2 linked regions of the Schizosaccharomyces pombe genome follow. The protein of the gene in region 1 purifies or fractionates together with the protein of each later gene. This does not show direct contact. Each region holds a gene or a part of one and is shown on either strand. Other genes may lie near its edges.

Region 1 (3,836 bases):
TCTCTTTTTTGGCAATTTATCTATGGCCTTGCATAATGGTTAGTCTGATTTTATAGTTTGAGTTATTGTAATATGCTAATGAACATTTTCAGGGGTCGGTTAATCTAAACTTACAAGATCGAGAAAACGAATATTTTTTTGACAGCATTCAGTACATTATTTATACATCTGAACTCCTCGTAGGAGATCACGAGCTACAGCGGTCACATCATGAAGAACAGCCTTCTTTGGTTTATCCTTCTTCATCGTTCAGTTCTACGAGCAAGTTTTGGAGATACTTCGCCTATCTGCTGAGCTTACAAATTGTAATAGATTTTGTTTTATACAAATTATCATCTGCAATGGCAAGTCTTCATTATCTAAAGTTTGTGAAGATAATAGCCTTATCTTATATTTGCTTCTCTTCGCTCATACGGATTTGTCATTGCTGGACATATTTTATTCGTATTATGGGATTATCCAGCTTAAATAAGTTTGTCAATCTATTGCATGATTTTGAAACTACATCTAATCGTGTTTACTCCCAAATTTGTGAATTGGAAGCAAATTCGGCAGCAAATCGCTCCCGGTTAATGGACTTCCTTCCTGCCAATGATCCTTTATTGTTTAATCTTACGGAACAAAATACTTTAAGTTACGAACTGTCTGGTTTGTATGAGAAGCTTTTACCTAGATACCAGCTGGTTCTGTCAAGAATATATCCGTATGCAGCTGCTTCCAACCTTAGAAACCTATTATCACTATATAGACTTCCAAATTGCTTTGGTAAATTAAATTCGTTTGACCTCCGAAAAGGTTCCTCAACAAGCTTAAAACGGAGTTCCATGTACCTAGCCCGTAAAGAAAACCAAGACTTTGATGACCAATCCACCCAAATTCTCAATCACATCAAAACTGCTTATTATGAATTAACTATAATCTCTAAGCAAGTTCTATGTTGCATACTATCGTTTCCGGTTGATTCATTTTTAGCTGAAAGGTCTTCATGGCTCATTGTTCACCGGGAGGTAGGTGACCTCTCTAATGCATTGTCTGTGTCGATGGTTCGTCTCGTTGACATCTTAAAGTTTTCAGTTGAATCGGTCAACCGTAATCAACATAACACTACTAGCAAACCTTTCCCCAGGATCATGTGCAAAGAAAATTTGCGCAGTCTTTTTAACGAGTTGCACTCTGTAATGATGGAAACTCATGAGTCTATCAGCTCATATATTCAAGAAGGAGACAATACAGCTATGCAGACATATGCTATGGATGAATATGATCAAGTTGGTTTACTGCTCAAAGATTTGCTCTCTGAATGGGACTTTAATAGAGCACTACTTCTCAACTTGCAACACATGCACCGAAAGCGTAAATAATTTTGGCTTTCAGAATTTTAAACCATATTTTGCTTTTATGATCTTTTTTATCCATTATTGTCCGTTTCTGTTATACGTCTTTCGGAACCTTGTTGGTTTTAATAGTTAGGATAGTTATTATAAACTATTTACAAATCGACATTTATCTAGGTTTAAATGTCGTTCAACTCAGCAATGATGTCTTTGTTGCTTAAAAATTTGCCTTAACCTTTCGTCCTGTATAATATTTTAGTTATACCAGTTTATCTTTACACTTATGCTTATGCTACTTATTGCAGGCGCAATTTTTTAAAAAATTAAATTAACATGAATTTACTATTATTCTATGAATTTTCCTGTTTTTATGGTCAAAACTGTTAAATTTTTTAAAGTTTTGATGGCTGTAGATTTAAAGTATAGATCGCCAATCGTGCGTTTACAAGTCATGCTACAAAAAATTTACTAAATATATAATATAAACATATTTAATTGATTTTAAAAATTTTCAGTCATTAATTCTCTCTGTATTCGAGTTTGTTTAATAACTACAGTATAACAGCGCTCCATTCTTTAACCACATGTCAGTACAGTATCCACCACAACATTCTGTTCTGCTCGTCAGCAGTGGATATGACCATACCATTAGATTTTGGGAAGCCCTAAGTGGAATATGCTCGAGAACAATACAACATGCGGACTCTCAGGTAAATCGTTTATGTATTTCACCTGATAAGAAGTTTCTAGCAGCCGCCGGAAATCCTCATGTAAGATTGTACGACATAAACACTAGTAGTCAAATGCCATTAATGACCTTTGAAGGGCACACCAATAATGTTACAGCCATCGCTTTTCATTGTGATGGTAAATGGCTTGCCACATCGAGCGAGGATGGAACAGTAAAGGTGTGGGATATGAGAGCCCCTTCAGTTCAGCGAAACTATGATCATAAATCTCCTGTTAATGACTTGTTAATTCATCCAAATCAAGGTGAACTGCTTTCATGCGACCAAAGTGGACGAGTTCGTGCATGGGATTTAGGAGAGAATTCTTGTACACACGAACTTATTCCGGAAGAAGATGTACCTATGAGCAGCATTACTGTTGGATCTGATGGTAGTATGCTTATTGCTGGGAACAACAAAGGAAACTGCTACGTTTGGCGAATGCTAAATCATCAGGGTGCTTCATTGCTTCAGCCCGTTGTCAAATTTCAAGCTCATCAGCGTTATATCACTCGCTGCGTCTTGTCTCCTGATGTCAAACACCTTGCTACATGTTCTGCCGATGCTACAGTGAATATATGGAGTACGGAGGATATGTCATTTATGCTTGAGAGACGACTTCAAGGGCATCAAAGATGGGTTTGGGATTGTGCGTTTTCTGCTGATTCTACCTACTTAGTAACCGCATCTTCTGATCATGTTGCAAGGCTTTGGGAGTTATCGAGTGGTGAAACAATCCGTCAGTATTCGGGTCATCACAAAGCTGCTGTTTGTGTTGCTCTTAATGACTACCAAATTTAAGTGTTTCAAAGCATTTTTCAAAATAAGTTTACGAGTTATGTTTTGTTGTATTTTTAGCTCAACTGATGTTGGAAAATTACTTCTATATATTCAAGTTTATTACACGCCTTTATCCTATTTTACCTTTGCTATATAGATTTTATTCACCAATCTTCTTAGGAAAACAAGAGTCTTGTCTTGTCAACATTCGTTTATATTAAGTGTGTCTGATTTCAAGACGATTTCTTAGTCACTTACAAATTTTTTATAAATTATATTCTTCCCTTGATACAGTATTTGCTAGTTTCATATCTCGGAGTTTTTATGATAAATAATAGTCTTAAGTGATGATAACTTTTGAAAATTTTCAATGCTTATTAGTGTAGTTTAACTTATTTTACAACTTTTATCTCTAAACATGATAGGATTAAGTAGGAAAAGTTACATATCCTCGTGTCCTTAAATGAAATGAAATGTATATCTTCATTAGCTTTCTGGTTAGCGAAGAAGCGAATTTGATAATGCAAAATTTGAAGAATTTAGTCTCGCTAAATCTGCTAATTAACTTACCGAGACTTACCGTAGTAAGATACGAAAAAAATTTCTAGGCCGTTCGACACAGCTGACCTTAACCACAACTCACAGCCAGCACATACTTAATCTCGCGAGGAGAAAAAACCTTCGATTTATAGCTCACTCTTTCCACTAACAATGTCTACTCAACCTCTTTTACAAACTACTCCTGGTAAAAGAATTGCTCTTCCTGTTCGTGTTGAACCTAAAGTTTTTTTCGCTAATGAACGTACTTTCCTTTCTTGGTTGAGCTTTGCAGTAGTTTTGGGTGGTTTGTCAGTTGGTTTACTTAACTTTGGTGATCGAATTGGTAAGATTAGTGCAGGACTTTTCACTATTGTTGCTATTGGTACCATGGGTTATGCTCTTGGTATTTACCACTGGAGAGCATCTGCTATTCGACGACGCGGAAGTGGTCCTT
Region 2 (4,598 bases), on another chromosome or scaffold:
TGGCTTCGGGGGAATCAAAGTCATAGTCGTTGTTAAATGCTCTCTTCTTCTGCTCTGCATTCAAAGATTTGTAAAACGAGTCAAGGGATAAAATAACAACATGTGGAAGATTTAACGCCTTTACAATCAATTGGGCCACCGAGGTTTTCCCACTACCCGATGGTCCTGCAATTCCAATAAATCGCACTTTACGCCATGGGGGTTCATAAGTTGGGTTGCTTGAATAACGCTCAAAAGCTTCAGGCATAATAACGAAAGAAATAAAATAAATAAGAAGCCCAAAAAAAAGGTATGCTAGCCTCCAAGGAAATATTACTAAAGAAAGTTTAAAAAAAAAAAAACTGTAGAGCAAAAAAAGACTAATTGGTGAACCTAACGTTTTTTAAAAGGTAAATTCTGTCTTGGCGTGAAACGAAAATATTCCACAATTTGTAGAGCCAAAGATATTTATTCAAACAGAATTAATTCAAGTAGAATGATAATGGTTTCCTTATCTTACTCTTCTCAAACTTGCTTAGTTTTTTCTATAAATCACAAATCTCGAGTTAGCAATACCATTAGAAAAATATATATATGTATACGAACCCAAAGGAAGGAAAAATGTTAGGAAATTTTAACATAAATAGAAAGATTTTCGAAATGTCTTTTTAAATAACTAGTAAACTAGTTGAAACAATAAATTGGAGAAGGGTAAATCCAATATCATTGTTTTTTCATCCTTTGGTAACATTATCACTGTGACTTTTTCAGTCAGCGCCTGAGCCGCGGTAATCATCGGGAATAAAGAAAGAGCAGTTTGTTTGTAGAACGGAAGTGAGAAGTTTTTTTGCAATACCTATTACTAAATTAATGAATTATATGTAGATTTAAAAGAAATCCGGCAATTAATATTCGAAATTAATCAATTTTGACTATGTGAAAATTGTAACATTCGTGACATGTTGGAAGCTTGTACCAAAATTTGATATTTAATTTAACTTTAAAAATGTATTTAATAAAAATAGGCGACAATAAGGAAATTTAACATATTGGCTCAAATTCAAAAACGCAAGAGAAATCTTGCTTTGTTTATATAAATAACTAAATCAACACGACTAATACTTAATACGCATTTCTTAGAAAAACAGATTCAAATTATTTTTTACCTTCCAAAAATGATGAAATAAAAAGAACAGCTAGGTTGAGATCGTCTCAAAGTTCAATAAATGATTTTGCCGCTCGAAGATTTAGATTGTAGCTTTGCCATTTTTTTTAAACCTAAGAGAACTGACAAAAAGGAATATGAAAGTTTCTTTTGTGCAGAAGAACCAAGTAAATGGACATAAGTTTATGGCAGGTTTTATGATATTGAGAACTCGTCGCTTTTGTTCGTAATAGGCAATTAATTTCAAATTAGAAAATAGTATAAAGGATATTCAGTTTGACCCATCAAGTAGAGTAATCCGCTATTAATGGTGTGAAAAAGTAGAAAAATTTGAAAAAAGCGTACATTTTCGAATAGAAACCCATTTACATGCTTACTTAGCACACGCAAAATCCTTAAATTTCTCTTCCCTATATCGAGAGAAGTGAAAATATAGAATAGTGAATGCATCAAACGCAAAGATTTGAAGCCGGTGCAATGTTAAACATATTTGACGGCTAATCGTCACAAAAAAATGACATTGATGACCTCGAATTGCGCAAATTTTGACTTCATATTTAAAACTCGAAACTCATGAATATTAAGCCTAGATAATTTGTTCGCATAATTTCTTCTCAATCCCACAAATTAATTATCCATGTATCGATAGCAATGGAATCAATTGATTTATTAAATTAAAGTAGATATCTTCCCCTCCTCATTTGATTAGAAAAAAATCCTTGAATTTCACATCACATTTACTCGAAAAGTTTTATCATAAACTTGCTGTAGAATTGAAACTGTAACTGCAATTTAAACCAAATAAAACGCTTTTTAAAATAAACAAAAGAGTACCACATGACTAAATTCCTCATCTTCCTTTTACCAACGTTTGTTGTAATATATTACCCATGCCTTTAGTAATGATAAATTGCACTTATTGAGCTAGAAAATAGTGAATTGAAATAAATCTAATATTTTAACAAACGATATCACGCTATAGCCGTTTTATAATATTTGCCATCTTTTGTTCGTTTCACATTGACACACCTCCATCCTCTCTTTCCTTTCACCTATCTTGGCGAACGAATTCTTAACCTGCTAATTTATTCACTTCAGGAGTAGGAATTGACAAGTGAGAAAAATTAATAATTAAATATTTTTTTTAATATCGTTCTTTTACATTATTGATCCATTGTTTTTGTTAGTCATAATTGGGAATTGACTAGCTTTTTATTGGATTCCTCTTCATGTTCATATTTTACTCAATTAATCATTTCAAAGGTTAATTTACAAGCGTTTTGCTTGTATTCGTTTCTTCTTCATTTTCTTTCTAAACAGTTCCCCAAAGAACCCTCATTTAGACGTTTAGTATGGAACGTCCATCCCTGTCGAGAAGAACGTCCTCTTCTACAGTAAGTACAGATGGTGAAGGGGTTTACTCAAGATCTACTAAGGAGCGTAAGCGGAATTTTATTGTAAACAGTAGGCTTAAGCGTGGTGGAGGTCATGTGCGAGTCAACCGTTCAGGTAGATTGGGCAGTGTAACTATGAGACCTTCTGCTTTAACTCGAGCGCATTCTCAAAATCCAAATAGTAGTTTGGTAAACAATTCGTCCGCCGTGTCCCATCTTACTAAACAACGATCTCTCAACGACTTGCATGAACTCAATGGTCCTAAACACGTAGCCAAAAATGGATTAATACCACTAACACAAAGAAAACCAAATTGTGTTTGGGACGATGCTCCAGTTGACAATGATTCTACTGCTGGTAATTTGGATTCGGACAGTGCGCTTCCTACGCCTTCTGTCACTACGAACGAAGCGGCTGATTCTTCAAGAGCCAGCTCTCCTGTCACCAGAGTTGTTGCTGTTCATGATAACAAAAAGAAAATCATTAATTCGAATATTTCAAATGCTCCTCCCTTTAATAATACAGATGTTCAAGCTTCTGCTCGTCCACCCGCTGCCGGTCAAGACGATTCAGCTGCTGATGCTAGTACCACAAAATCGAGCCCAGTACATAATGAAGTTATGGCAGAACCTTTACCTCATTCGAATAATCGCGAAGTCACTCAGGCTACAAATCAGCCAAAATGGCAAATTCATTCGGGCTCGGGTAAGTCTTTAATCGATGTTTCATCAATTCATATTACTCATATATTAACTTACTTTTAGATATTGCTAGTGAACCCCCTACACTCTCTAGAGGAAATTCTTTATCGTTACTTGCAAATCGAAAAGTTCCTTCCACAAATGTAAAAAAGTCGCAGGCTGAACTTTACGACCTTGGCTCTTCCACAAGTAGAACCCAGCAAAAGCTGTTGATTCAACGTGCATCTTCTAAATTTGACATAGTAGAAGATGATATGGATACAAACCCTTCTAAACGGTTTTCGAACCCTCATACAAAGCATATTATGGACTTAGTCCGTACACAATATCGGAATGTTTTGCGTACGCGTGAGTTGATCCCTGAATTCTTAGAGAAAATAAGGTCCTCCTATAGTAACAATCAGAATTTCGACTCTCAAAATGCCTTCAATACTTCTGCGGCAGGTACCGCTGGAACTAGGGAGGAGACAATTAGTAACGGACAAAACGGCATCGTCGCTTCTGCCGAGACTTCGAAGAAAGATGATGGGGTACAATCAGCTTCTCTTAATGCATCCATGAGTGCACGTAGTCATGCTAGACAGCGCTCAATACATGTGCCAAAAACCAGAAAAGACACTGATTATGAATCGATACATCAGAAATTGCTACAATTATGGTCTCAAGGGTAAAATAATTGTACTATAATTTTAATCTCAATCTCTCGCCCTTAGATTCCTATATTAGTATTTTGTCAAAGAAAAACTGTCCCTCAATTATTGTGTTTAAATATTTACTTTTTTTGTTATTTTGATTTCGAATAGTTTTTTGAAAATAAATTATTTGCGTAGCAGTCATTGCTAAAGTCCTAAATACCTGTATGTCCATCTACCGAAGTCCTTGGAGCAAACTAAATGTGTAATCTGTATACTGTGAAACATCCATAGTTTTTGTTGTACTTTGGAATATGGATTCTTTGCACAGAAGTTCAAAAATTTGTTGCCAACCAAGTAAGTCAGTAAAGGGTTGAGGGATTACCCATGGACAGCTTTTTTTATGTTCTTCCAATACGTCGAAATCTTGTCCTTCACTTTGTAAATTCCAAACACCCAAACGTCTGTGACAGTAGTTACACACATACAAACGACCAGGAACTTGCTCACTCCATCCAGTCAATGCGATGCCAAGCAAAACAGCAGCGTCCTCTTTCTCCCAATCAACACGAATTTTATTTGCAACCTTTTCAAGACGTTTTAAGGTCATCTCTTCAGGAAGATGCGTAGATACCAAGCGAGTGGACAGACTGTTAAACCGTCGTCCGACCTGAACCAGTTCGGCAGATACTGATAAATGATAAATGTCTGGAGGAAATTTATGTA

What was found.
Region 2: the proteins of wat1 (region 1) and tco89 purify together in Schizosaccharomyces pombe (affinity purification with mass spectrometry, with the first as the bait; one study listed by BioGRID). This does not show direct contact.

Annotation. Positions count from the first base shown.
Region 1 is NC_003423.3:1,661,029-1,664,864, forward strand, and holds wat1 (TORC1/2 complex WD repeat protein Wat1/Lst8), read left to right. Parts: upstream 1-1,912; 5' UTR 1,913-1,918; coding exon 1,919-2,863; 3' UTR 2,864-3,332; downstream 3,333-3,836. Other genes in the region: myosin-binding vezatin family protein Inp2, read left to right, coding at 1-38, 93-1,361; vacuolar transporter chaperone (VTC) complex, GTPase regulator subunit Nrf1, read left to right, coding at 3,554-3,836. UniProt on the Schizosaccharomyces pombe protein: component of both TORC1 and TORC2, which regulate multiple cellular processes to control cell growth in response to environmental signals. Nutrient limitation and environmental stress signals cause inactivation of TORC1.
Region 2 is NC_003421.2:1,552,094-1,556,691, reverse strand, and holds tco89 (TORC1 subunit Tco89), read left to right. Parts: upstream 1-2,194; 5' UTR 2,195-2,496; coding exon 2,497-3,244; exon of another isoform or gene 3,245-3,303; coding exon 3,304-3,911; 3' UTR 3,912-4,098; downstream 4,099-4,598. Other genes in the region: urk1 (uridine kinase/uracil phosphoribosyltransferase), read right to left, coding at 1-247; zinc finger C3HC-type containing RNA export factor Rsm1, read right to left, coding at 4,108-4,598. UniProt on the Schizosaccharomyces pombe protein: Component of TORC1, which regulates multiple cellular processes to control cell growth in response to environmental signals. Tor2 is essential for growth. Nutrient limitation and environmental stress signals cause inactivation of TORC1.